Linked DNA regions of Alligator mississippiensis. The protein of the gene in region 2 binds, or shares a complex with, the protein of the main gene of each other region. Links are inferred from orthologs where the notes say so. Each region holds a gene or a part of one and is shown on either strand. Other genes may lie near its edges. The genes, in order: PIGY, PIGA, DPM2 and PIGP.

Region 1 (5,865 bases), on a different chromosome or scaffold from region 2:
AGAGCAGTGGGTACTTCAGTGGGTCAGCGTCCCAATCCTGACTTGTTCTCAGTACTGCATCTCCTCAGTCAATGTAAAGCTAGCAAGGGGGAGTGTTAGAAGGCATTTTTGAGCCTATTGCCTTATTGTCAGCTGTTACAGGCCACTGCCAGTTGGAATAAATTAAAGCAGCTGCCAAACTACTATTTCATGGCACTTCTTGCCTGAATAATTGTGCCAGACCTGCTGATCTAGAAGGAAATCATATTAGAGTGACATGGATACCCCACCTTGGTTTTTTTTCTAAAAAGGTGTGCTGTGTTGGATGTGCATGGATGACTACCCTCAAAACATGGCTGCAGTGATCCTAACAAGTCTAAAGCTCACATGGATTTAAAAAAATCTTTGCACAGACAAGTTTGCTGTTGCACAGTGTTTTGATTACACTGCATTTTCATAGCACAGTGCCAGAAGCATTTCATGAATAAATCTGTTCAACCTAGCAACGCACCTAAAGACAGACACTGCCATCTTTAAAGAGCAGCCCACATTACTGTTTATTATTAACAACCTGAGTAAGTAATTAAACTGTATCTCAGTCAGTAGATGGAGTCATTCAGGGCAAAGACAAACACCCACTGTAATATGCTTTCACACTACTACAGTGCACCTCTGGATTTTGAGGGGCAAGGACAAATGTACTTAATTATCTTTCCTGGCAGAAATTAAGCAGTCATACACAAAGTCCTCTGTAGATCATTGTGAAGTGCCAGGAAGAGGGTGATAAAGGTCATCATTATTGAGAGAGAGCAAGGGAGGAAGAGACTATCCCAGTTACATGGAATATAATATTAGTGTACAGCTAAGATAAGCTACACAACTAGCACAGAGGCCCTGTGATTGATGAGCTCACTGGGCAGTGCCCTCGGGCTGTCTGCCTGCCTTAGTTGTGTCTAAAAAGTTTAATGCCCATCCAGGTCCACAGGTGGAAGAACACGTACACGGGGATCGTAACAGGAAGCAGCAGACTGTAGAAACATAAGCTGCTGGTGCTGGTGCAGCCCTGTGGGAAGTTTTCATCCATGGTGGCCGAATAAAACAAGCCAACCAAGGACAGCAGCGGGACAAGCACTGTCAGTGTAGGCAGTGACAGGAACATGACTACTGCTCACACATGAGCCTCTCAGTCTCTAGCTTTGCTCTCTGGGACAGCACTATCTAGCTTTGCTTTGACTCCTCGCCAGTGGGGTGAGGGGGCTCGGCCTCTATCTTCCTCGCCACCTGCGGTATCATGTTAGGGATGCCGTCCACCACCGGGTAGGCAATGCCCAGCTCCTCGTTGATCAGCTCGTTGGTGGATTCTTCATACCTGCGTGAAAAACGAACAGGTCAGGGCTGCGGATTCAAGGAGGAGAGTCCCTGCACACCTGTGTGCATATGTGTGTGCGTGGGTTCACACAAGTGCGTACCGGAGCGGGCGCTTGGACAGCGGGCACACGAGCAGCCCCAGCAGCGCGGGGTCCAGCCTGGCGGGCTGCGCAGAGCCCCGGCCGCTGTCCGGCCCACGCGTCCCGCCCGCCGCCACCTGCAACCCCCTGCGCAGCGCCGCAGCCCGGCCCAGCATCGTCCCACGCGCAGCGACTTCCGCCCGCCTGCTCGCGCCACTTCCTGCGCGCTGGGAACCCGCTCCGCCCGCGCACCGCCCCGCGCTTGGGTTCCGGGGGGAGGGGCCGTGTGTACACCCCCACCACCCGCGCCCGTTCACTTCATCTGGTACCTGGGCTTGGCGGGGGGGGGGGTGTTCTCTCTGTGTCTCTCCCTGAGGTGTTCCGGGCTGCAGGCTGACAGGGCCCGGCTCTCTCCCGCCAAGGGCCCAGCTCTGCAGTTCTGTTTCAGAGCGGCTTTGAAACGAGACCTACAGGTGTTTACGGAGGAAGGCCCTGCCCTGAGTCTGCACGGTGCTGGCCTGGACTTTTGAGTCCGGCGGCTTCGGTCATGTTTTCCCTTTGATTCCCAGTGAATAAAGGTGTGAAGTCAGGAATGTCGGAGTTGAAGCGTTCGCGGCGGGGAGCAGAGGCACAAGCAGCTGCTTTCACGTCCAGACGGGATGGATTTTGCATATGCAAAAGGTCATGCTCCCGTGTTAGTTGGGAAGCTACCCACATACTGGTATTTTCTGATGTCAGCATTCCTCACATTAAGAAGCACCCACTCCCAGCCCCTGGGGCACTGTGCTGGAGGCAGCAGGGTTCGATCAGTGGGGCTCAGTCTTTTTTTGGATCACCTTGGAAAATCGCAGCTCTCTTCTTATGCCTACAGAAAAATAAGAGGAGGGTTGGGTTTTTTCCTGTAGTCAAGAGCTCGGGAGGCCACAGTGGCAGATACCTATTTGACATCCCTGGGTTTATCTCATGAATGGTGCTTGAATGCCTCTTAGTGCTGGCATGGCAAGGTCCCACACACCACCCTCAAAAGGAGCTCGTGGCCCCTTGGTTGGGAATTGCACTAGATTGGGGTGCTCGGCTCCTAGCCAGTCGGCTGAATGTGGCCCATGGAGTCATGGCATCCAGCCCATACAGCTCCACAAGGGTCAGGGAGGTTGGTGGTGAGGGCGCAGTGGCAATTAACATTGCAACCCCTCTCCCATGCCAAGTTCTGGAGACCCATGTGGCCAGATCAGGGCTGGGTTATGCTCCCTCATCCTGCATGGCTGGATCATGGCAATGATGCCCCCCTTGTTCCCTTCCATGTGGCCAGGACCTACTTCTCCCACTGGATCGGGTCCACCATCCAGATCCAGCCCATGGACAAACCAAGCCCAGCCCATCTGGACCATGGGGCAGAAAGGTTGAGCATAAATGAACCTTGACTAGGTGGAGCCCATCTCCTTCTCAGTGACTGTCTATACTATGTTCTATTGTATGTTCTACTATGTTCATGCTTCTGGGCTTTGCTGGTTGCCACATGGGGTAGGAGGGAATTCCCTGTGACCTCCCCCACTCCCTTTCTGCTACATGTGAGGGCCGGGTTTTTTTAAGTCTTTCTCAGAGGCATTGGTTACTGGCTGCAGCCAAGACTGGGGACTTTGAGGTGTGCCAGTACTCCTGCAGGAACTTAAAGCTGGAGGTTCCTGGCTAAAGAGTCATGCCCCTCAGACTGATCACCTTAGTTGGGGGCAGGACGGAATTTTACCCCATGCTCAGACTGGTACTGACTGTGGGGGGGTTGCCTTCCTTTGTACCCCTGGGGGGTGGGGGGCTCTATCTGGAATCTCTTGAGTGTATATTAACAACCTTTTATAGAAGCAGGACATTGGCTGCCATGATCCCCCTTTTTTATCCACGGCAGGTTATTGTGTTATGTCTTGTGTTGTGTCAGGGTTGATGGTAGTTTTACAAAGAGTTTAGGTTATGGATTTGTATAGAATGGTTTGGATAGGGCAGGGGATAGAATGGTTCTTGTCTCAGGCAGGGGATTGGACTAGATGGTTAGATTAGGCAGTGGTTTTCAACCTGTGGTCCACAGACTATGTCTGATGGGTCCGTGAAAGATGACTGATCAATCAAAAGTATGTGAATAGCCACACTTACAATTTAAAGGGGTCCTCACCATCATTTGAAATGTCCAAAGGGGTCTGCATTTTCATTCAAATTGTTTTAGGGGTCCTCAAACAAAAAAAAGTTGAAAACCACTGGACTAGGGAGTTGGAAAGCGCCATCCAGCCTGACTTCTCTATAATTCTATGCTATTCCTGCAGCGTGGCTGGGGCCAGGATCTGAATGTCTCCAGGGAAAACCGCAGCTGAAAAGTTCCCAAGCAGGCCTGCTTGTGTGATGCATGCTCAAGGGCATGGCAGGCTTCTGAGGGGCTGGAGACTATTCCTGCAGTTTTGATATTCATCGTAAGTTCCTAACTCCCTCCTGGCCAACCCTGTGTCATAAATACTTGCAGGACTCCTGGAACAGGGTCAACCTATGCCCCCTGATCCAGCAATTGCTTGAATGTTTCTTGGTCAGTGTCCAGCTGGAGTTGGGAAATATAGGAGGAGGGGGGGGTAGAATAAAAAACACTCTAGAAGTGATGCACATAGATCATGACTGAGAGAAATTAAAGCAACTAACTTTGAAGGAGTGAAATCTGGGCCAGGGTCCCTGAAGCAGCACAGGTGGCTGTTAACATCTGTGAAACTGGCAGCAGTGAATGTGTTTTGGGAGTATGTGCAATTGTGCAGTTTGCAAATGCTGGTTTTGATTAGGATGCTGCCTGGCCTCAGTCCAGGACAATTTTTTTCATATTTGAGATGAAAGTCCCAGTTCAGGGAATCACAGGGGATGCCAGAGCATAGTCCTGAAACTTAGGACTGTCTCAAAAAATCCAGGACCATTAGTCACATCAAGATGGACTGAATAGGGAAAGGTATGCATAGTATAGGGAGAGATGCTACCTGAATGTATTAAAGACGTCTGTGAGGAAATATCCTTGCATTCTTTTAGACTTTTTGGCTTATGTGACTGCTACACACACTATCAGTCTTCTGTAAGATTTCCTAATTCATCTTTAATGATAAAATATTATGTGCCATAAGTCTGATATCAATGTTTAGTCCTTGGTTCTTAGTGTCCAGCCAGCTTATACATTTTTATAGTTTTATCATTTCTGTACCTTCATGACTACAATATCGCTCTGACACTACCAAAAGAACAAGTGAGTTATTCTTATTCCCATAACAACAAGAAGGAGGTCTAACTGTATTCAGCAACTCACATTCTAGGAGTACAAAGTTTTGTGCAGTAGAGTAAAAAAAATACAACTCACATGGTCATGGCACAGTATAATATATAACAGACCAATTTAAAATGCTGAGTATTTAGTACATCAAATTAAAATGTGCTAGTACCTGTAGTTTCCAATAGATGGCATCACACCATTTATAAAGTAATATTTAAGGTTAACTTTGTAGGCATTTACAGTAATGTTTCTTTAGTTTTCTGGAATGGCCAGTGTCTCCAACCTGTTCTTCTCCTCCAGAAAGATCCAACAGCTTTGGAAACAAAATCAGAATCCTGCTTATCCTTTAAGCAGGAATTTGCACAGCAAGCCACAGTGCAGGCTTGTTCCTTGTGTACACATTTGCACGTGGGCGTAAAACATTACCAAGTTAATTAATGCAGGTATCAGTACTCCACCAGGTTCAGTCTAAGCAGTGACTTCCTGTGCTCCAAAGTGCCCCTCAAGCATGCTGTGCTGCTCTGAACAGCTTGTTCCCTAGACTGGAAACACTATAGCTGCATCTGTTCAGTGCCACAGGCAGGCTAGTTAGGGAATAGCAAGTGAATTGGCAACATCGCTTAACAGTACTAATTAGTTAGCCTGAAATACTCAGCAAATGTGGCCACCTGGAGCAGTGCAGCCTGCCTGAGGATGTGGCTCTGGAGCCTGGTAAATGTACTGTTGTAGATATGGCTGAATCTAAATTGAGGTCAGCCAGACAGAAGCCTGGGAACCCATGTGCTGAGAGATGGAGACTCAGGCAGGAGTTGGGGTCCTCTGGCTCTGTTGGTGGAATTGCCTCCTGTGCCCTGGGGTAGGACAGTGTGACAACTGTAGATATTGTAGGGCTTACTGCCACTGCCAAGATTTCATTTACCCACCGGCGGTGACAGGATGGACCTTTATCTCGGATCACCTGGTCTGCCAGGAGACTGATCTTACTTTTCTCGCCTGCCACAGCTTTGTTGGTACTGTTAATAGGAGGCAATACCCTGAGATGATCCTTCAGGTCTTGAATTCTGTCTTCTTCTGTAGGGCTCCAAACCTCCCCTTTACCCCATCCTAGCCACTCCAGGTGAAACTCAAAGCTTCTCTTTGGCTTGGTATTATGCTCTC
Region 2 (6,896 bases):
TCCAGTGCTGCTCTTAGTACAGTATTTTCCTTGCTAGTATAAGAGACACAAATGATGTGATTTGTATCACACAGTGACACCGTTAGGAGTTTGTTTGTGAGTATTGAACTGACATCAGCAAATCCAAAGAGAGAATGGTCTGTAAAAACTGTCCGTAAGCCCATTGTCTTGGCATGAAAGAGTGCATCATGAGCCATGGCAGAAAATGAACTATGGGAGTGGATTATGGTGACTCTCTCTCGCACAAAGATGTACCTGAGCAAAGGTAGACTGTGGAAGAGTGTTGTTGCAGTAGATTGATTGTACATGACCTTCAAAGGCAAGTAATATACCTTCAGACCATTGGTGAGATAACGAATGCCTTTTCTATTTCCATACGCATGAGTGACAATTATAACTTTGTGCCCTCTTTCAATCAGGCACTGTGACAGCTGGTAGATGTGACTTTCCACTCCTCCCATGTTTGGGTAAAAAAAGTCAGATACCATGCATATACTGTGCGTTCGAATGCCCCATGCTGGGGGTCTCCCACAGTTAACAACAGAGAAAGCAGTAGTGAGAGACTGCTCCTGATCTCCTATTTTTCTGCAAGCCATACTTGGAACAAGTTTAACAGTCAGTCCTTCCAGTAGCTATTCGTAGTATATAGGTAAAAAGCAGGCTCAAATCTGAAAGGAGAAAAAAGAAAATAATTATGGACACAAATAAAATAGCACACAGTTCAAGACTGTTATTTCCACCAGGACATTCATGATATAGCATCATAACCATTTGTTTCTTCAAGGTTGGCACTAGCTTTTGAGAAGTCCCACGCAAAGTAAAAATGTTTGTTCAGTTACAAGTACAGTAGAATGCGCTGGCTTCCCTAGGCACATCCTGGCCTTGACACATTTTCAATAAAAATATAGCAAGTAAAATATAACGTTTGTTGGGTGAGGGAAGTACTCTCATTTCTGAGGCTCGCTGTGATTCCCTCCCCTCAATCCACAAGCCCTAAACAAAGGAGATTAAAAACAACCAACCAACCAAAAGAAGTGTCAGGAGGAAGGCAGAAGACTAGATCCCCTGCTGCAGCTATTCTGTGAAGACACCACAACACTGGAATAGAGAACGGGGGATAATCCGCAGGATGGATCAGCTAGTCACCAGTGAACTTTGCTGCTTTGCCACGAAAGCTGCATAACCGTGTGAAGCATTCTCATTCTGCGAAGCACTCTCACAGCCACACAGCACTTCCCAAAGAACATTAGACTGTGTAACAAGGGCAAAGTCCCTACTTGGAAGGGGAAAAGGAAATAAAAGAACACAACCTAGGGAGTGACTGAGTTTCTACACTATATGCTTACACCAGAGGTTCCAGGCATGTAATCAGCGTTCATATTATTCATCAACTCCAAAGGGAGTTTCCGATAAAATTAAACAAAAGCACAAAACAAAATACAAAATAACCTCCCCCAACAAACAAATCTATATTTGCAGATGCCTTGGCAAGACAATGTCATGCTTTCTACAGTGAAACCATCTATGACTACAATACGAGACATTTAAACAAAACCAGTTGGTTTTGTTACAGGTCGTGCAACTACAAAATCATAGGGTTGGAAAGAACGTTGAGGGGCAGCTGGTCAAACCCCTGCCCCCTGCCGTGGCACAGGAGGTGCTTTTTCTCAACTCTCCCAGGTGGAGGAAGATGAAAGTCACAGAGGTTAGAGCAGCCAGGCTGGCACAGACCTCCTGAGGTCCTCGAGTCCTGCCTGAAGAAACTCTGGCTGCATTTCTCTCTGCATGTTTTCATTTACATGCTCCCCATCTACAGCCCCACCAAGCCCCAGGATATCCTGGTCAACCTCCTCCTGCCCTTAGCCAAGCTCACGATCCATCTGACTGGGAAGGAGGCCCTGGCCAGGAAGACCTCCACCAGGGGCTTTGGGGTCAGTTTTCTGTCCCTCATCCACTTACATCTCTGGGAAGAGCTTAACTAGGAAGTGTCCACTGACTCCTTGGACTCGTTCAAGGGCCTGTGGGTGCTGCCCAGTGTGCTCTGTTTGGCGTTTCCCTTTGGCACTCTTGTTACTAAGCTCTGACTAGCATTCCCATCCCTTTCTTCTTTAGTATTATTTGTCCCCATCTTGTTTGGAGCGTGGCAATTGTGGGGCCCCTTAGCCTGCCACATCTCATGCATCGGTGTCCCCACGCTTCCAAACAGCAGCAGGGGCTCTTGACCTCGAGCTCATTGCACAAACTTCAGTTCAAGCGCCCTCGGGGCCATTCCGCAGTGCAGAGATGTTGTCAAAGCACCGCTGCGTCTCATGTATCAGAGTCCCCCCACTTCCAAACTGCAGCGGGGGCGCACCCAAGAAAGCTGGTTCAATGAGCTTGAGTTCAAGCACCCCCGCTGCCATGTTGACACGCGTAGACACCAATACACGAGATGTAGCGGTGCTTTCATTAGAGCGGCTCTTGTTAAAGAACTCTAATTAAAGCACCAGCCCCTCCCCCAGGTGCCCGTGGTTCTCCTTGCTGGGCGCCCTCCAAACCAGCCAACAGGCCTGCCCAAAGCAGCCTCCAAGGAAGGCGATTTCCCGCCCTGCTCCGGGGCGGACTTGCAGCGATACAATTTGCTCCCCCAGCATTGATGCCCTGCCCCTGTAGTCCAGTCGGGGGACAGGTCTCGGGGCACTTTGGACAGGGCTGAGACGGGGGCTACATGAAGGGGGATCCTGGAGTCCCCCTAGCACGAGGGCCCCGCTCACAGGCGGGAATGGGTCACTCCTGTGCCCCCGCGGACGAGTCCACCCACACCCTGGCGAACGCTGCCAAGTGGTTCAGTCCACCGCGGCGCAGCCGTACCGAACCGAACGGCCCCGCTGGAAGGGGAAGGGGACGGTTGGTAGAGGGAGAGGGACGGCGTTACGCACTTGCCGGCTCCCATCGCACGCGACTGGCCCCCACTTCCGGGTGAGAAGCGGTTCGAGCACGCGCGCTCAAGACCACTCCTGTCGCCCGAGTAACCGCCCTTCCCTTCCCAGCGCCGGATGTGTAGGGCGGGCACGGGGCCGGGCGGCCAATGGGACCCGCCCGCCATTATCGGCGAAGGGAAGGAAGGGAGTGACGTCGGGAGTCGGGAGTGACTGCCCGTTCTTTTAACCGTTTCTTCGCCAGTAGGGTTCCCAGCTGGGGGGGCGGGGCAGCAGGGGGATGCGGGGCGGGAGCGAGGGGCACCTGCCAGGCTAGGGGGAGAAGAGGGCTGTGGGTCAAGAGTGAGGAGCACTAGCAGGGCTGTCGCTTAGGAGTGAGGGGCAGGGCATATAATTGCCCCCCCTCCCATAATCATATATTTCTCCCCTCCCTCTCTGCCCCCCACCCCTTTTTTTGGTACTGGAAATATGCCCCCGACCATGCAGCTGCCCCGGCAGATGACCTCCCGCCCCAGAGACCTGGCGCTAGAGCTCCCGCTGCCAACAGGGCAAGGGGCTGTGGGACGTTGGCACCGCAATGCTGGCTGGGCCCCAGTGCCTGGCAGGGAGCATGTTCTGGAGCTGGGCATGGTGGTGCGGGAGCAGGTCCTGGGACTCCTGGCCCAGGAAATGCAGGGCTGGGGGTGGGCAGTGCAGTATGGAGGCTTGTGCTGGTGCCACGCCTGGCCCCGGGGGTGTCAGCTGCAGCAGGCAGCGGGCAAGAAGCCCCAGGACAGAGTGTGTACCCCTGCATGCTGCTGTCCCCATCTCTGTACATCTGGGGGCTGTTCTCTCCCAGCTCCCAGTGATGCATGGCTCTTGTCCCCAGGTCACAAGGAGCGTGAAGGTGGTTGAGATGTCCTCCAAAAGGTGCAGCCCAGGAGGGCACTGCAGGGACCCGAGTCCTGGCTGAAGCAGCCAAAGGCCTATGGTACAGACATGGCTCTGAAGGAGGGAGGATAGAAGGGCACCCCAGGGGCTCAGGACAAGCTACCTCGTGTCCCCGAAGAGGAGCCCCTGCCTGAGCAGGAGCCAGGTATGGGACTGGATGCAAACACACTGGAAGCAGGGGTCTGGGTGCCTGAGGGGCTGTCCTGTGTGCAGGGGGAGGGGCTCGAACATCTGCACCGGCTGCAACAGGGCCACCGTATTTGTAACTCTGGGGTGGCACAGAGCTCTTGCCTCTGTGGTAGCAGCTTCCAGGCTGGGCTCTGGTCTTTCTGCCTGCATATGTGCAGCACCCAAAAGAGAGAGGCTTTGCCCGGGGGGGGGGGGGCTTGTCATGCTGCCATGAGAACAGTCAAGGACCTAATTCATGTTCCTGCAATCAGTGCTCCCTGCCCCCTTTCTCATGCCACATGTGCCCACAAAGGGGCTGGGGTGCATGTCGGGAAATGAGATTCCCCAGGGATATCCGCCTGGTTCAGGTCCAGCTCATGCCAAGCCTCTGTCCTACTGCCAACTGCCCCAAAACCGAGACTTGGGAATCATCAGTTGATAAAGGTGCCTTAGGCTGGTGCCCTAGACCAGGCCCTTCCCCCAGGGCTGGGATGGAGCAGTGGCTCTACCCTTCCTAGTAGCAGCAGGCACCTTCCATCAGTGGAGAAGTCTGCCAGGACATTTGATGAGGTCTGCTACACCAGATCAGCTGTTCCTTTCCTCCCCGTGCCCTGGTAGTCCTGCATATGCTCTGGAGAAGATGGACTTTGCATTTCCCTCCCCTGCCCTTACAAGCTGGATGCTGACACAATACTAAGGTCCCTGGAGCTTGTGTCCCAGGGAGCGATGTCCCTGCCAGCTCTGCCATGGTGCTGTGATCCTACCCCGCACTGCGACAAAGTCACTCGGGGCTCATCCCCAGCTCCAAGCCTGCGGAGGCCCATTAGCAAGAACTGTGGGGCTTTGAGTCTTCTTTCTCCCCTGTCTCCCATGTGCTGAGGCCTCTGACTGCCTTAGTCCCAAGCCAGGACAGAAAAGTAGCAGGGCTCCCCACTGCCCGCAGAGCCAGGGCTAACCTGTGCACTGTGTTCCCCACCTGCAGGGGCCAGGACCCTGAGCAGAGCTGAGCAGCAGCCTGGTGAGGAAGGGCCTGTGTGCTGCAGAGGACATCCCCAGGGAGCCTGGGAGAGAGGGGCTCCCTGCCCCTTGAGCCGGGTTCAGTGCAGAAGGGGCGGTGCAGGCCTTGGCAGCCGAGGGAGAGCCTGGAGGTGAGCAGGGCACCAGGTGCACCTGGGGCAGAGCCAGGAAGAACCAGGAGTGCAGGGAAGAGTGTGGAGCGGAGCGACCTGCAGAGTGACAAGCCTCTGATGTCAGAGGCTGCAGACGCACCAAGCAGTCATTAGCCGGAGCTCACTGCCAAGGGCCAATGGCCAGAGGTACTGGCACAGGAAGGCCTGGGCAGAGTCCATGGGACCAGCGCTTCTTCCATAGACTGAGGAAATAGAAGGGAATAAGCTGGGCCAGGGCAGATACATGAACTCCTGCATCCACGGCTGAATCCCCAATCGCACATCAGCTGAATGATGGGGAGCTTTGCACCACTGCCTGTCACGACCAAGCTTGGAAATAGCTGTAGTGCAGAATGATTGCAGACAGGACTGTTGGGGCTGAAAGCAGCTGGCCCAGGAGACACTGATGGTGCAATGCTTGTGCTTGCAACTCCCAGAGGTTTCATGCTGGAGGAGTGGGAGCTGCTGGATGATGAAGGCAAGGAGCTTTATCAGGACTAGAAGCTGAGGAATTACCAAGCTCTTATTTCCCTGGGTAAAGTTCTGCTCCTTGTTTCTCTCTGGAGCCACATGAGCTCTAAAGCTTATTGTCTTCTCCCTGTTTTTCAAATCTCATCCTCAAGGCCAGGGGTTGAAATCCACATCCTCCCCACTGCTGTGTCATTTATGAGGCCTCTCATGTTTCACATTAATATATCCTCCTTCATTTCATTTAACTGCCTTCACCCAAGTCTTCCCCATGCTTTGACTCCTGATGCTTCCCTATTCAGCCATTTCTTAGCAACACGATCTTCCTTTGCCTTCCCAGTATTTTCATATCATCTCCAATTCATTGATGCCCCAGCAGAAGGTGATGGAAGTCTTATCAGCCTCTGGTGCTCCCACACATAGATTGTGCATTTCCTTGGCTTCTTCTGCTGTGACGTACATGTACCTGCTGGAACCCGAGTACTTTTCACTAGGAGTCACTGGAAGCTTCTGTCTACATCTTTCAAAACATCTTCATCTCCATAGACATGGACTCTGACTTTGCTGGATTTACTTGGAGACCTGTGCTCTCAAGCTCACTCTGCTATTCTCAGATGTTTTCTTGTCCTCCTTCTACAACCCCTCTTCATATGAGATTCCCATCACTGTGATAGCCCACTTCTTTTTATCTGAAGAGCCAAGGGAAAACCTGTTTTCCTTTCCAGAGAGTTTCTCATCCAGGGACTTTCCTTTTACTAAGTCAGTTTGTTTTTCTGGTGCTTTCTTTTCCCTCCATTTCCCCCAAAGGATTTTCTTAGGGAAGGGGCCCAATGGTTTTTCTAGCTCAACAAAGACCACATAGACCATTTCTACACTCTGGGTGTTCACATGCTGTGAAATGTGCCATGTTCTATCTTCTTTTGTCCATATTCCTGACTTCCAGGAACTTTGTTTTAAACCCTGCAGTATTTGCCAACCTGGGCACTCATCTCCCCTGCTGGGATGAAGGTCCCTTGGATAGAATGTTGCTCGACTTGTGACTACAGTTATAATAAAATCATTCTTTCCTGTGCTCTTGTGATGAATTACCTTCTTTCCCAGAAAAAGGTTTCATCGTCAGCCATCATCCTGAATTCTTTTCACTGCCCTGAGCCCTGACATTAAACCTTCAGTGAGAAGAAACTTATTGCCACTCCTTTGCTCAGATTTACACTGATAAGTGTTATCTGTCCAGAAGTGTGTC
Region 3 (7,513 bases), on a different chromosome or scaffold from region 2:
AGATGCAGCCAGAGAGCCTGGGTGAGCTCCGTGCAACCCTCCTAGTGCTATGACTACCATTAGCACAAAACAAGGTTTGCTGCACCCACTACAGGCAAGTAAGAAGAGAATCTGTCCCTAGCTACCAGCCTTGGTCCACAATCTCTTGGTTTTTCACATAATAGATCTGATTTGTAAACTCTAAAATAAACACTTGAAGGACAAAAAATAAAGCAACAGAGCAAGAGGTGTTGCCAGAGGCAGAGATCCAATGGAGCCAGGCAGCCAGCTATTTGTTCTGCTCACTAGTGCTGCCTTCTCCCCTTAACACAGGGCAAGTGGAGGCTGCACAGAGCTCCCCGACTGCAGAGTCCCGAGCTGTCAGCTGTCCTGGTCAGCCCGAGCTGTCAGTCTGTCCTGGTCAGCCCGAGCTGAGGTAGTTTCACTAAAGCCGAGGCTCTGGTCCCTGTCTGGATGTGTATGATATTCAGCCAGTTTCTCTTTCATTTGATCAAATGGCTGGATGTGCTCTGCAAGGTAGGAAGTGCCAAGAGCATGGTGAGGCCCAGCATCCAGGCTATAACACAAAGAGTCTTTGGTTGCGGGAGGAAATGGCCACCTGTTACTGCAGGTCAAAGTCTTGGCCCCATCAAGACACTGCAGGTAGGAACCTGCGCCCATTCCCATGCCCACTGTCTTCAGTTCAATTTCTTGGCAGGTTTCTTGTTCTTCCACATCACAATCACTATGAAAGTCCCTGAGAGAGAGAAAGAAAAAATGTGAAGAAAATGGCCAAAAACCCTATAAGTACTACAGCTTTCTAAACACCATTGCTATGCGGAACAGAACCACTTCACAGGATGAGACCAGGGCAGCTCCACTGTGCAGGAGCTCACAGCTGGAGTAGGCAGGGCTGTAAGAGAGGTCACGTGGCAATTGCTTCCAAGTAGCTGGGCCAACAGTGACCAACCAGCTTCTATAACAGATTTCTGATCCCAAAACAGAAGAGAAATGTTACTCACCTATGAACAGCAGCAGCAGGAGCCCTGCAACCACAGGAATGGTAACAGAATATTCCCTGGGCAAGAAGTATTTGTGAATCCCGTGATTGCTATCAATGAAGGGCTGCAAGAAACAAAGAGGGGCATCAGCAAGCTGGGGCAATATGCAGCTACTTGCCAGCACTCAGACATTCCTGCTTGTAGGGACAGAAGTACAAGCCTTAAGACTGACAGTTAACAATGATGCTGATGGATAGAGAATAGAGCCAAGGGGCCACGAACTCACCCCTCCAAAGCTTGTCTTGATTTCTGACTAGCTGCCTGGCACTGAACAACCTGCTCAACCTGGTGAGCGTCTCCCATGCTTCACTGGGCAAAACAGAGACAATATTTGCCTTGTTTTAGACACAAGGCAAAGATCATCTTTCACAGAACTTAGAACAGACTGAGCGTTACAGAGCAGCACGTGGGCTGACAGCAAGGCATAGGGACAATGAAAAAAACCCAACCATACTGAGTTTGCAGCCGCAGAACAACGAGCTGAGAGGATGTCAGAAGTGAGCACCATTCACAGCACGGCCAGGAGCTGTCAGGGATCCACATGCCAAGCAAACTGAAGCAAGTCTCCAGACTGGCCTTGCAGGCTCAAAGAGACGCTTCCTCACCAGAGATGTGGGTTTTCCACAAAATTTTGAATTGGAAAATTTTCTGGAAATTTTTCCAATGCCCTAAATAGAGCGTGATCTGATTTAACACGTTTATTTGATGTATATCAGTAAGCAAAACTAAAAAAACACCCCATGTTAATTTTATGTCTCGACAGCCACAAGTATTTTAACTGGAATATTTAATTAAAAAAAAATTAACTACAACACACTTAATGTGATTTAAATGTTACATTCAAACAAATTCAAAGCAGAGCTTTGATGTGGAAAAAAAATTACTTTTATTGGCATACTTGTAAAAATGTAAAGGCAATATACAACAGCACGTACTTCCCTTACATTGTTTAAATTTAAGAAAAGACAGTGGAGGCACTGAAAAATGTTGACACACTAATTTTAGCACACCCAAAAACTGTGCATGAGATGCCATGACTTGGTTTAGATTTGACCTGCACAGCCAATCAGGTGAATTCATAACTTGATTTCTGGATTGGAGGATTATGTGAGTGTATTTACACATCAATAAAACATATGTACTCTCTCTCACACTTCCTAGGGATAATCACCCGAAACACGCGAATGACAACTTTGACACTGCCGAGCTTGCCTAACAGGGCATTGGCATCCCTTCGTTGTTACTAACGAATTTTAGGAAACGATGAATTTTTAGAAATGGAAAATTTCCCACGGAAAAATAAAGCGCTGGACAGTTTTCCACCCCACGATGCTCCTCGCCCAATTCCCTACGCGTCTGTGAGGCTTTCCAGGACTGCGATCGGCTCAGTCGCTGCTCACTCGACCCAGGAAACGGGGGACCCCAGAAGCGCGCGGCGATGGGAGCGCGGCCCCTATCTGAAGCCCCCGAGCCGGCCGGGGGCTATTTGGAGCTGCCAGCGACGGCCAAGGCGGGCGCCTGTGGCAGCTCTTGCTTCCCCCTGACTAGGAAGCCCAACGCGGGGTGAGGCGGTGACCCCTCGGCCCCTCCAGCGCTGCCAGCTCGTGCCCCGCGCCCCCCACGCGCGGGGGGGGGGGGGGGGGACAGGCAAGGCCCGGGGCAGCCCCTCCCGCCGGGCCCGTACCAGCGCCACGATCCAGATCGTGTAGTAGGTGAAGAGCGCGAGGCTGAAGGCCACCAGCCCGAAGCCCACCAGCCGGTCCGTCGCCGTGGCCTGTGGGCGGGAGAGTAGAGGCGGTCAGAGCGGGCCCGCCCCGAGCCCCGACCCCCCTCCCTGGCCTGGCCCGGCCCGGCCCGGCCCGGCCCGGCCGCCCTCACCATGGCCACGCGCTGCGCCGACCCCCCTACCACCGCCCCGCCCACTTCCGGGAGCCGCTGCCCAATCCACGGCCGGGATTTCGGCCCCGGAGCACGACGGGAGCTGACCCCAGCCGCATTGCACCACGGGAGACATCATCCGCGAGCCTTTCCTTTCCCCGGGGCATGACGGGAGGCGCCCGTCCCCTCTTTCGCAAAGCTTCATGGGAGCCGTAGTCCCGCCTGGCGCGGGGCCTGATGGGAGATGTAGTCCCCAGGCTTAACCCCTTGGCTGCCATGGGGGGTAGGGAGCTGTCCTGCTGCAAGCGAGGGCCGCTGGCAGGTGGCAGCGATGCAGGGAGTGCAGCCAGCTCGGCACCTGCACCCTGGGTGGCCCTGCCTGGAAAACCTTTTAGTATCGGGCCCCAATTTGCCAGAGAGCATGAGAATAATAATTGCACAAAGGAAAAAATATTCCCCTTTCTGTAATTTGCCTATGCCCGTGTCCAGCCCTTCGCAGGACGGAGCCTCGTGAGCCGGCCAGGCTGGAGCTCCGCTAGCCCAACCCGTGCACCCGCAGAGGGTGGGGTTCAGCCCTGGGGCGGCTCCGTGGGCGCAAAGGGGACCCTACAACCCAGCCCCGCGCTCCTTGTTCCCCTCTGCCCTCCTCCCACCAGGTCAGGCCCAGCAGAGCCACAGCCCCCAGCCATGCGCCTCCCCGCTCTCGTCTCCCGTTTCCCCGAGCAGGATGGGCTAAGCCCACGTGCTGCCCCTGGGCTGCTGCTTGTTCAGTGGGGCGAGCGGGGGTATCCAGGTGAGCCTCTGCCCCTGCCTTGTGGAGAAGGGGACGGCCAAGGAGCCTCCAAGGAAGGTCCTGGTGCACAGGGGGCAGGAGGTCTTGGCCTTGTTCAGAGCCCATCAGCTTCACTGGCATGATCCAGTGATGGCCATGTGTTGAATAGTCAAGCAAGGAGGAAGCCCAGCTGCTCGGGAGCCAAACTGAGCTCAGCCACAGTGAAGGGAGCAGAAAACACCCATTCAGAGACAGTCAACAAAGCCAGAGGTTTGTTACAGCCAACAGGCAGGAGCGGGGCTGCGTCCCGCTGGAGAGGTTTCTCAGGAACCCCAGTGCAGACCTATTTGCAGAAGCGACTTGCAGAGGTGAAAATCAGTGGGGCTTGGCATCCTTAATCACTTAGGTGCTTTTGAAAATGTTCCCTCGATCTGTTCACAACATACACGTAAAATCCTCCAACGTGGCTGGGGGGAGCGGGGGTAGGGCAGCATGCAGGAAATTTGAGAAAGAATTTGTGACGCAGGCAGGAGCCGAGCAGTTCTGGAAAGAATCCGGCTCCACCCTGCCCAGCCCTCCGTTTCCTCTTGCAGGGCCCCTAGCTCCCACGGTAAAGCCACCCACTATGTTGGCCATGGCTGACGAGAACAACAAACTCAATTACAGCAATGCTACACACGTTCTCACTGTTACTTATTACGGTAAGGAGATGCTGTGCTGGGGGCAGAGTGTCTACGTCAGGAAGCTTGCCACCCTGATCACACTGCATGAGATAAAACACTGGAATTCCCCAGCTGAAGACTTTAAATCTGGAATAAGCCTGTCCATCAGGGTAGGATGTGGCAATTATCCTGGCAGTGGATGCCCCTGCATGGCCAAGGTGGAAGACAGAGCGTCTCAAGGGGCTGGTTCACCTTGGGGTCTGCAGAGCCAGGGAAATGCTCCGGTTTGGAGCTCTGCCCCTAGGAGCCATGCAGGGCTATACTTGCGTTTTCCTGCAGGACAATGGGGGTGGTCACGTCTTGGGGCTCCTGCCCTTCCCCTTGGATCTCCCAGTTCTTCAGTCTTGGCTCTTTTTAGCTTTTGGGTCTGTGCTTACCAGTGCAGAGGCAGGTTCTGCACACACATAGACAGACTGCTGTACACAGTTCAAAGGCACATCAGGGTCACCCAACCCCTGTGGGGGCCAAGGAGCATAAAGCAAAGGATCACCACATTTGGGGGTAGGGATGCAGGGGCAGAGACCAATTCAGGGCTATGAGGGAGGCTTTTAGGGCCTCCAAGGCATTGGAAGCTGCTCCGGGATTCCTCTGGGACGTGCTGGGGTGGGACTGGGACAGGTTCTTGTGTGGGGGCAGCAGCCACTCTCCCTAGGTGGTGCTAACACTCCCCCTGGTCTGTCTCCAGCCCAGCCCAGCAGCCCCTCAAAGACTCTGGCTCATTTCAACTGCAGATCCTTGCATTTTGCCTCTTGCATCTCCAACCATGCCAGCCCACACAAACTGGTGATTTTTATTCAGAGCCCCTGTGCCTGCCCCAGCAGCTGCCAGGCCAAGGACATGGGTCCTGCCCAGGTCATAGCAGACCTGCTCAGTGCAGCTGTAGCCCTCTACCTTCTGTCCTCTAAGCCGGAACTTTAGCCCCAACCTCCACGAAGGTACAGCAGAAGCCACATTCTCTGGGGAACAATAGAAGCACTTTCCCTTCGCTCATAAGATCTGCTTAGATCCAGAGCAGTCTGTGATTCACTTTCTGCTGGCATCTGGGTGGGAAATGATGAGATGACCCAGGGAGCTGGCCAGTCTTGGGCAAGGCATGTCTGTATGGGGATTTTCCATATTGCAAATGGTTGGAGTGAGCCAAGAGACCCAGCTGCAGACTGGGAGGCCTGGACCGTAGTCCACTTAGATTCAGTTACACACAAGAAAGCTACAGAAAAAGCAGCACATGAGACGTGCAAGGGCAAGCACTCAGGACCTGGGAAATGGGGCACTTTGAGCAAGCCATCTTCATTGCCCCTGGACACTCACCTTAAGTTCTGAGATCACGCATCGCTTCTCCCCAGAGTCCTGGCCTGGCTGTGCACACGGCCTGGCCTGGCTGGTGCTCACTGCACAAGGAGTTGGGCAGTACTTTGCTTTCCTTTTCACCAAAGCATCTCTGGCCACAGGCTTCTATGCCCTCCTCCCCATGCACAGGGTTGCCAGGATCCCCATCACCCCTGAGCAGCGGCTCCAATGCAGGTCCTGCAACACCATTACTGGCTGGATGGCAAAACCCAGCCAGATTCCAGCTCACCCAGCAGGCAGCAGAGTCTGAAAAGAGGTTCCCCCTTCAGCAAGGCTGGGGCAGCTCAGCTGTTAGACCAAAACGCCTAGTTTCCCTTGCTGTGGTTCACAGGTGGCTGGGGCAGATTTCGCCAGCTCCATACTTTACACTTACACCTCTGGAATTGCTTATGGGGCTGGTGCTGCAGACAGAGCACCGACATCCAGGGGATGCTCCAGCTGGGATGCTCCAGGTGGTGGCATTAGACCCAGGGGTAAGGAATTGCTCAGGGTACCAGGCAGGGGAATAAAACCACAGCAGATGGTGGAAAACACCAGAGTGCAAGAGTCCTGACAAAACACGGCACCGTGTGCGAGTGGCCACAGGTCAGGTGTGAATGTCTCTATTCCATCCCCTCCCCATATGTAAGCCAAGGGGACAGCATAGGATAAGAAGCCAGCAGCCAGCCCTGCACCCCATCTACCCCTGCCCCACCTGTGGCCCATATCATGCTTAGAAGCTCTTCGGAGTAGGAACCATCTTTCTGTTTAGCTTTTGCCCCTGGTCCTGGCTAGGGTTTCTAGGTGCCACCCCAGTGCCAGCAACAGAGATCTGATGTACATAGTTACGGCCAAAGGCTCCAGAGTTCAGGGTGTGGGGGAGAAGTGTTTCAGCTTCCCATCAGTCAGTACTAAACATTTGTCTTTCTGCGAGCAGCAGCAACAATGGGACCTGTGGAAAGAGATGCTCCCTAGTTTGGTAGCACCAATCTGCTCTCCACTTATTTTCTAACCCTCAAAGAGGCAGGACCAAGGCCTGAATTCTCATGGGACTGCCTGTGGTTTTGCTCATCCCTCCCTCAAGGGCACATGAGTGAGAAAACAAGCCTCCCACTTCCTAAGAAGTTGTTGTTTCCCACCAAAGTGCCACAAGTTTTAGAGAAAGGGTTAAGGTCAGCTCACTGGAAGGAAACCGCATGGAAAGCATGAACTCCAGAGGAGCTCAGATGCAGAGACTTATTTAGCGGGTTTTGATGATTGCAAGAACCATGCAAGAAGATAGAGCCCTGCTTCAAAAGCACTGTCACCCAAGACCGGCCACCTCCTACACAGCAGACAGGAGCAGACTCTGGGAGTTGGGCCTTCATCCCTGCCCCAGGCTACCTGAGCCTTCACATCACTGCAGACAGGCCCAAGACTTGCCCAAGCTGGCTCCTCAAATGCAGCCTTGAAATGCTTGAACAAAACGTTGATGTAGAAAAAGCTGAGAAAGCAGGCAGGAGCCTCACAGCACCCTTTGTGGGGACACCTATGCTTTGAATTCCTGCAGATGTGTCTGCAACTGGCCACATCAATGGCAGGGACTTGGTTAAACCTTGACAAGTGTCCAGGCTTGGGCTGCAGCTTGAATTTAAGCTGCTGAACAAACCTAAGCAACAGCTGGAGGCAGTTCAGCTAACATCATCAGCCCTTAGCAGCAGCCCTGAAGAATACAGTTACATTTAGCTGATCAGTATTAACCCCTAGGGCCATTAGGTAACTTTATTAGTAGCATG
Region 4 (7,906 bases), about 28 Mb from region 2:
CTTTAGCTCAGTGATAATTTTTCAGGGCAAATTATTATTTGTGGAGGGTAGTTTTTGCAAAAATACTCCAGTTGTCTGTCAGAGGAACAATAGTAAGTCTTCTTTTTCAAACTGGATGAAATGCAAGACCTATTATGCTACATAAATAGCACTGGTACATTTCTAGTTTTGTTATTTGAAAAAAAAAGGTTCAAAGACTATCAAGTATTTTTACAAGGATAGTTTTATAAACTAAATGATTTGAACCTACTTTTGAGGCCAGTATGTTAGTCCCAATGAGAATAACCAGGATTCAGGAACATATGCCCACACAAGGTATAGCACTGTACAGAAGAAGTGAAGTTAGTATTTTGATCACAATGGTAAAATAAACATTATTTCAGAATTAAAAAACCCCCCAGTTCTAAGCACTTACAGTAGTGTCATTAGAAATCATTCAAATAATGAATGACAACTTGCTCTACAGCAGTAGTTCCCATAAGGCCTTACTAGACCATAAATGCCATATTGGGTTAGTCCAATGACTCGTATCTTGCCTCTGATGGATAAAGGAGTGGATGCTTTAGAGGGATAAATCTAAAGGCTGGAACAGGTATGTCTAAAGCAGAGGTGGGCAAAATGGTGGATCTAGCCGGTGGCTGGATTCTATTTTCCAGCATGCTGTGGCCCATTTCCGTGGAGATCCCAGCAGCTGTGGGCCTATGACAGTGTGTGACCAGGGTTTCCATGGAGACTGGCCCCAGTAGTGCTGGCAGGGTGTGTGGCAGGATGGGAGCTGCTCTAGGGCCAGGATCCTGTGGCGGCAACAGTATGGTCTAGAGGTGGGCAGAGTTGTGATCCACTTGATGTTCAACGTTTTGACCAGCCTGGTCTGGCGTGATAGACATCCTATCCCTGGCATCTACCATCATTGGTTTAGAGATGCCAGAGGATACACCTCCAATTGCTCTAATAACAGTTAACAGTTTCATCACCCACAAATTTGACTACTCCTTTTGAGCTTCGCTAGCCTCTAACCAGCATGTCCAAAATATCAGGGAGAAGGACAACCCCACAAACAGCATCATGCACACAACTCTTTGTAGAAGGCAGGGCAGCGCCTCAGAAACTAACCTGGGCTTTCAAGGGCAACAGTTTATTTTGGCAGATGCTATGAAGTAGCCTAGCAGTTCTCAACCTTTTTTAGACTTGAGGCACCCTCCCCTGCATCCATTTAGACTCAAGGCACCCCTTGGAAAATGTCAACGCTGAGCTTTTACTCCTTTCTTAATTACAGAAAGACAACTGAGCAAGTCTTCTCCTGCAGAGAGCTCAGAAAGCCCACAACAGGGGCAGAATGATTTTAAATGCATTGGATTACTGTCTGAAGTCACTGGGTTTATCTTGGTAATCATGTGCATGCACCTAAGAGTGCTACCTTTGCATGACACTCCAGCAGCATTCCTAAAGGGGTCACAGTAGCCCATGGTTGAGAACTACTTGAGTAACATCTCATAGGTCTCCAAATTAGTCTTTAAAGCTAAAAAAAGAGACAAGGGTTGATTCATAGAATCATAGAAAATTAGGGCTGGAAGGGACCACAGATCATCTAGTTCAACCCCCCTGCTCACAGCAGGACCACCCTCAAATAGATCATCCCAGCCAAAGCTTCGTCTAGCCGGGTCTTATAAACCTCCAAGGATGGAGCTTCCACCGCCTCTCTGGGTAACCTGTTCCAAAGTTTTACTGCCCTCCTACTGAGAGAGTTTTTCCTAATATCTAACCTAAACTTCCCTTGCTGAACCTTGAGACTGGTGCTCCTTGTTCTGTCATCTGTCACCACTGAGAACAGTCAAGCTCTATCCTCTTTCAAACCTCTTTTCAGGTAGCTGAAGGCTGCTATCAAGTTTCCCTCAGTCTTCTCTTCTCCAGACTAAATAAGCCTAATTCCCTCAGCTTCTCCTCACAAGTCCTGTGCTCCAACCTCTGACCCATTTTTGTTGCCCTCTGCTGGACTCTCTCCAACTTGTCCATCTACTTTCTGCAGCAGGGGCCCAAAACTGGATGCAGGACTTCAGATGTGGCTTCCCCAATCTTGACCCAGCTTTGCCTGATCTATCCAACAGCAAACCCCAGCAGCAGAGGAACAAGGTCCTGGTCATGCATAAAGTGTAGAGGCAGGTCCAAGGCACCACTCTTCACCGGGGCACCTGAGGCTGGCTTAAGGCAGGCAGTCTGGCAGGGCAAGGGGCGATTTCAGCAACAGAGACCCTCCTCCCTCTGAGCGGGAGGACCATGGAGGGAGAGGTGGCTGAAACAGGGGCCACAGACTAGACCCAGCTGGGCTTGCACCTGGGCCCGCCTGGCCAAGCAAAGCTTGGGGTTGTCCTGGACAGCATTGCCAGGTCCTAAATAGTAAATTATCATATTTGCTGAAAAACTATTGTACAGTGACAAATATGCAAATAAGCCTTCTTCTTTACTTCATATTGCTCACTGTAAGTCGCCAATAAGTCAAAAGTTGAAGCATTTCTTTATTGTAAGGCGAGCGCTGACAGTGAACCCAAACATCACTTACAATTCCCCGACAGTGACATGGGTTTTGCATCTGCTGCATCCATCCGCTACCTCAAAAACGATCGGACATTTTGAATACGCTTATTACCATTACTGAGTGCTCATCGTACAAGGGTTCCAATTATCGGAGAAACCGAATAATTATCGTGCACCCGGCAACGCCGGCCCTGCGGGGCCAGCTCCGGCCGCGTCTGCCCGGCCGGGCCCCGCCCTCGCCTCCCCGCGGCACCTACTGAAGCCGAACTGAGCGGCGAGAAAGAGCACGAAGCCGTAGAGCGCGCGCTCGGGCAGCGGCGACGGCGAGTTCTCTACCATGGCGGCCCGGTCCCGCCTCCGCGCGGGGGACTGACGTCACCACCTCGGGTCGAAGCCAGCTGACGAAGGAGAAAGGGTGGGGAGGCCGCTGCGCAGGCGCCGTCCCGCGTCCAATCGGCTGGTAACATCGGCTACGTCACCCCAGCCCGTTATGCCCTGCCTATAAGCGTCCTGCCGCTGCCTCTGTTCACCGCCTTACAGAAGTGTCGTCACCACCCGCGCATGCGCGAGAGAACCGAACCCTCCCCCGCCTTTTTTTTCCCCCCTCCTCTCGCGCGAACAACCGCGGTTGGCCCTTTGCGTAGGCGAGTGAAACCTAACACAATTCCACCCCGCCCCCCTTAGCCCGGGGGCGCTGCGAAGATCGATGCTTTACGTTCCTGACGTCAGAAGTCGGGCAGCCAATAGGGTGGCGGGAAGGGGTCCGTGCGCCTGGGGCGGAGTTGTTGTGCTGCGCCGCGGGAGCCCCACCCGTCCCTTACGGCGGCGCGGGCGGGAAGCGGCGGTGCAGCGGCTGCTGGGAGTCTCAGCCTTGAGCCGGTGAGTAGGGGTCCCGCGGGCGGCGGTTTGTCATTTCCTGTCTCTCTTCCCCCCCCCTCACGTTGTGTTGGCTTCGCGCAGGGCTGGGGCCCGGGCCGAGGCTGAGGTGGGATCTGGCTACAGCCCCCACGCCCCGTGGCTGTGGGGGAGCCCATTTGCCACGTGGAGGAAGGCAGGCAGGGGCTGCTCGGGTCAGGCGGAGGCTCCGAGGTCCTGTGGTCTCGGGTGCTTCCGCAAGCCTTGGCGTGAAAGATGGTTGGAAGCTACTTCTAGTCACTAGGCCTCTACAAACCCGGTTTGGGGAGCCGGGCTGATGTTTTTAGGGTGCGATGGGTGGCTTCGCCTGTGTGGCCGGTCTGGATTGCACAATTCCCCCGGGATTTGCGTGAGGGGGTGTACCGTGCTGGTTAAAGGGCAGTTGGTGGTGGGGGTGATTGCAGGCTACAGCTGTTTGTGGTTAGCAGAGGCAGCTGCTGAAGGGGCAGGGCATCCTTCCCCCTCTCCCCCTCCCCCCCATACGATTCAGCATCTTGCAAAACGGTGAGGGCCAAAGTTTCTTTGTGTAGATGTGATTATCTTTTATTAGATCGACTAAATACCCTGCAAAACTGTTCTTTGCAAGCTGTCGGGCACAAGCAGCCTTCTTCAGGCATGGGGAGAGTCTGTTGGTGTTTGTGTGCTGTCCTGGGTAGAAGAGAAGCCAGTGTGCAGATAGCAGGTCTGTGCAAATGCAAATGCCTGGCAGGGAGGATCAGAGAGAATGGGAGACAATAGGTGTGAATGACAATGGGAGACAGGAGGGTGGTTGGGGGAGGGGGAATGTTGACCTGGTGATAATTGTAGCTGGTAAAATGGTGTTTACCTGATGAAGGGTTTAAACCTAAAAGCTTGCTAAGAAAAGTTTTTCCAACTATTTAAGTTGATCTAATAAAAGACATCAGATTGAGCCAAAGATCGAGCCTTGTCTAGCTGGTTAAATGCAGTTTTTCCAGCTATCTAGTTGGTCAAATAAAAGAGATCACATCTACCCAAAGAACCTTGTCTGCCTGTGTTCTTAGACCAATACGGCTACAGCCAACAACCTTAGTGCCAGGATGGGTTTAAGTGAGAAATACCTTCTCCCTTGCTGTTTTTATTTTAATGCCTCTTGCTAGATTTTGATGAGCAAAGTAGATTATGCTGCTTTTTGAGAAGCTGTCTTGAGCCACTCTGGCTTTTTGCATTGGTTATGGGTTCCTGAAAAGGATTCTGTAACCCAGATCAGCTTTTTGTTAAACAGGAAGTGTTATAGCCTGCTGATCCAGGCCAAACTGAGAAAAATGTAGGCAGAGAGGGAGGCCAGCCACTCGGGGGAGGGGGGAAGTGAGCACAGAGGAGGGGCCTGAGGGGGAGAAAATGTTCACATCTTTTCTGAACCAGAACAGCATGTTGTTCAAGTAGCTTTGTCTGCTGTTGGTTTGCAAGCCCCTCACATGAATGAGTTTGGAATTTTTTGAATTGTTGTGGCTTTATCATCTTTATCACCTCATGCTCTCTTGTGAGTAGGTAGCAGAGTTGATTTCACCTTCTCTCAGGGTGATTTTACTGCCAGTGTTAGCAACAGAACTCCTTGGCTGTATCTCATGGGTTTCTGTTTTTCTTGAGCTGAGAACTTGGTGTTTATGAAGAAACAGCTGTTGACCTCTTTTTAAATTCTCATTCAAAAATTGCTATGGAACATCCAGGAAAAAAAAAAGCCAGTAGGGTGACCAGCTGTTCCTGTGTCATGGCCTGTAAACCATGGAGTTTAACTTATCCTTCCTGTGATGACCTTTTTACTCTTATCAGTGGACACAGGAAACATCTTTTTCTGCCTCAGAGAAAAGTACATCTCTAACAAGTGCTCTGTCTGCTGCTTGAGAGACACGAGGTTTGTGATGCACACTCCTTGGAGTAGTTCGTGAAGGTCATATTTAGTCTGGTACAGGAAGCAGTGTCCACAGTTCTTGCTTGGAGGATATCTTTAAAAAGTGCTCTGGCAAGCAGGCATTATACCTGATCTTAGAAAGGAGAAAATTAAACAAAAAAAACCCTCAATACTTTTGGCTCTGATACTAGGGTCTGCAGTTCTGACTAGAGTAACATTGGTACAGGCAATATTGATGCTGACCCCGGGAAAGGAATCCTGTGCTGTTGGCCTTAGGTGCTAGGTGATATACCTGTACCAAGTCTGAGGTGCATCTTGGAGCATATGACATGTTCATCCATAAGGTGAACTCAAGCCAAGAAAAATCTTTTAAGTGTCGCAATGTTAAGCGATGAGAGCAAGGGTACTGGTAATGCAGAGAAGGGGCAAGAGCAACCCAGAAGCTGTCACACCAGTGCCAACACCAGTTCTGAAATCTACACTGAGACTGAGACACCTTTAAAGAGGCACTTCTTTCCATATGATTGGCACTCGAATGAGCTAGAACCTCATTCAGTGGTATACCATACTTTTTGCTATCTCTAGGCCACTACTTTTCCCACACGCGGAACTGGAAGCGCGCTCTCGTGCGCGCGCGCGCTCTATAAAGGGAACTATCCCAAAGAAGCATTGTTCAAACAATGGATATCAAACAACAAGGATGCACTTTTTGTAGAAAACAATGATTAAATTGAGGCTTCCTGTCCTGTGATTTCAGCCATGATTTAAATTGATACGATTTAAATCAAATCCACTGTGGTGTTGTGTAAACAGTTATGGTACTTATAGTTTAAGGGATAGTTATGCAGGGATGGGTAGAGGGGGTCTCCTGGGTATATACAACCCCAGATAAATTTATCTAATGCTTTTACAGGTTGGTTTTTTATTCCTAATGTTTACTTGCATCCTGTTGTCAGTCATTGAGGGCATCTTTACATGCGCTGGGGTGGGGGGGCACTTTAATTAAGTGACTCCTGAGAGCCGCTCTCATTAAAACACCCACATCATGTTATATATTCAGCATGGCTCCTGCCACCATTTTGAAGTATGGGAACTCTGAATACATGTGACAACCTAATAGACACACTCCAGCAGACTCAATTAATCCAGCTCCATTAATTGAGCCTTAATTAGCACACACTGACTAGCTCCAGCTCTAATTAGCATGCTCCAGCAGACTCCATACTAAATGCAAGTGAACTTATTCAGGGCACCTACACAGGTGTCTGACCCATGTTCCGACACATGCTAATTAGCCTGTGTCAGAGTAGGTGGGCTCCTGTAGGTGCCCTGAATGAGTATACTTGTATTTAGTTTTCATTAGGTTCAGGAACAGCCTGTATTTCTCATTAAGTATTTTACTAACTGGAATTTTTGTTGCATTGCGTGTAGGGTTATAAAAGGTACTGACAGACACAGACCGTTTAAAATGTGGTTTGAACTGCAAGCATCTGGACATACAAGCCAGTTTAGAACAGCTTAACCTTCCTAAAATGTTTCAAAAGTATATTGAGATAAGCAGGTATTATTTTGAACTGTTGCTCTGTGAACTAGTTCAGTGTTATGTGGACAGCTTTCCACGATATTTTGTTAAATTTTTCCTCTGGGGATCTTGCACTCATCCTTTCCCTGCAATCCCTCAGCCCAGTATTTTTCCCGAAGGTCGTCTTGTCGCTGGCAATGGACCTCACTCCACAGTATTGCAGACTGATTTGGGATGGGGGGTGGATGGGTGAGCAGGTAGAAATTTTATGTCAAACCACAGAATAACTTGTAGCATAGATTCTTCATGATTAAAGCTGTTCTCTTTCAATGTGTGAAAATCCCTTTACTCACTCTATTTCTTTTCCGGATTAAAATTTCTAGGAAATGCTAGAGGCAAGGATTTCTTAGGATGATATCTTTTATTAGACCAGCTATGTAGTTGGGATAAATTTAGACAAGCTTTTGAGTGCAAGACATTCTCTCCCAGGTCTGATCACAGGGAGCCAGGCCTTATGATCAGACCTGAGAGAGAATGTCTTAAATTCAAAAGCTTGTCTAACTTTACCCAACTACATAGTTGGTCCAATAAAAGATATCACCCTAAGAAATCTTTGCCTCTTGTATAATTTCTGAACTACCATGGCTACAACATCATTCTTACACTATTAGATAATGCCAGGCATTTCACTGTTACTAGCTATAATCATAGCATGTTTACACCCTAATCACAGACCAAAATTCTGTAAGATTGTTACTGTGGACTGGTACTTATTGTCTGATACTTTTTTAACTTTCATACAAAATGTTCAGATACTTTGGTTACTTTGCTATTAATTGGAACATCCCCCCCTGGTTTTTATGGCTTTCAAATGATAGGTATGGTGTGGGAACACGTTATGAAACGTGCTATAACTTAATCTTGCAGCCATTCTAAACCCTGTCAAAGGGGCATAACAGGTGATTTTTTTTCATATATTTTGGCTTTGCTTTCTAGGATCATGAACCATGGAAAAATCTCTACCTGACTCAGAGTTTGCTGGCATTGCTTTTTATGGTGGCTGCATT

Evidence for each region.
Region 1: PIGA (region 2) and PIGY share a complex: the UniProt entries of both Homo sapiens proteins name them as parts of the glycosylphosphatidylinositol-N-acetylglucosaminyltransferase (GPI-GnT) complex. The link is inferred for Alligator mississippiensis from reciprocal best matches to the Homo sapiens genes PIGA and PIGY.
Region 3: PIGA (region 2) and DPM2 share a complex: the UniProt entries of both Homo sapiens proteins name them as parts of the glycosylphosphatidylinositol-N-acetylglucosaminyltransferase (GPI-GnT) complex. The link is inferred for Alligator mississippiensis from reciprocal best matches to the Homo sapiens genes PIGA and DPM2.
Region 4: PIGA (region 2) and PIGP share a complex: the UniProt entries of both Homo sapiens proteins name them as parts of the glycosylphosphatidylinositol-N-acetylglucosaminyltransferase (GPI-GnT) complex. The link is inferred for Alligator mississippiensis from reciprocal best matches to the Homo sapiens genes PIGA and PIGP.

What each region holds. Positions count from the first base shown.
Region 1 is NC_081825.1:151,545,339-151,551,203, forward strand, and holds PIGY (phosphatidylinositol N-acetylglucosaminyltransferase subunit Y), read right to left. Parts: upstream 1,198-5,865; 5' UTR 1,139-1,197; coding exon 923-1,138; 3' UTR 512-922; downstream 1-511. Other genes in the region: PYURF (protein preY, mitochondrial), read right to left, coding at 1,198-1,348, 1,449-1,603. UniProt on the Homo sapiens protein: Part of the glycosylphosphatidylinositol-N-acetylglucosaminyltransferase (GPI-GnT) complex that catalyzes the transfer of N-acetylglucosamine from UDP-N-acetylglucosamine to phosphatidylinositol and participates in the first step of GPI biosynthesis.
Region 2 is NC_081824.1:322,975,225-322,982,120, reverse strand, and holds the start of PIGA (phosphatidylinositol N-acetylglucosaminyltransferase subunit A), read right to left. Parts: upstream 3,005-6,896; 5' UTR 2,919-3,004; intron 2,910-2,918; exon of another isoform or gene 1,027-2,909; intron 669-1,026; 5' UTR 597-668; coding exon 1-596. UniProt on the Homo sapiens protein: Catalytic subunit of the glycosylphosphatidylinositol-N-acetylglucosaminyltransferase (GPI-GnT) complex that catalyzes the transfer of N-acetylglucosamine from UDP-N-acetylglucosamine to phosphatidylinositol and participates in the first step of GPI biosynthesis.
Region 3 is NC_081835.1:57,214,441-57,221,953, reverse strand, and holds the start of DPM2 (dolichol phosphate-mannose biosynthesis regulatory protein), read right to left. Parts: upstream 3,021-7,513; 5' UTR 2,922-3,020; coding exon 2,919-2,921; intron 2,815-2,918; coding exon 2,725-2,814; intron 1,105-2,724; coding exon 1,002-1,104; intron 737-1,001; coding exon 678-736; 3' UTR 1-677. UniProt on the Homo sapiens protein: Regulates the biosynthesis of dolichol phosphate-mannose. Regulatory subunit of the dolichol-phosphate mannose (DPM) synthase complex; essential for the ER localization and stable expression of DPM1.
Region 4 is NC_081824.1:295,040,194-295,048,099, forward strand, and holds the start of PIGP (phosphatidylinositol N-acetylglucosaminyltransferase subunit P), read right to left. Parts: upstream 3,020-7,906; 5' UTR 2,872-3,019; coding exon 2,790-2,871; intron 2,784-2,789; exon of another isoform or gene 2,601-2,783; coding exon of another isoform or gene 2,558-2,600; intron 1,520-2,557; exon of another isoform or gene 1,467-1,519; coding exon of another isoform or gene 1,418-1,466; intron 324-1,417; coding exon 251-323; intron 1-250. Other genes in the region: E3 ubiquitin-protein ligase TTC3, read left to right, coding at 7,847-7,906. UniProt on the Homo sapiens protein: Part of the glycosylphosphatidylinositol-N-acetylglucosaminyltransferase (GPI-GnT) complex that catalyzes the transfer of N-acetylglucosamine from UDP-N-acetylglucosamine to phosphatidylinositol and participates in the first step of GPI biosynthesis.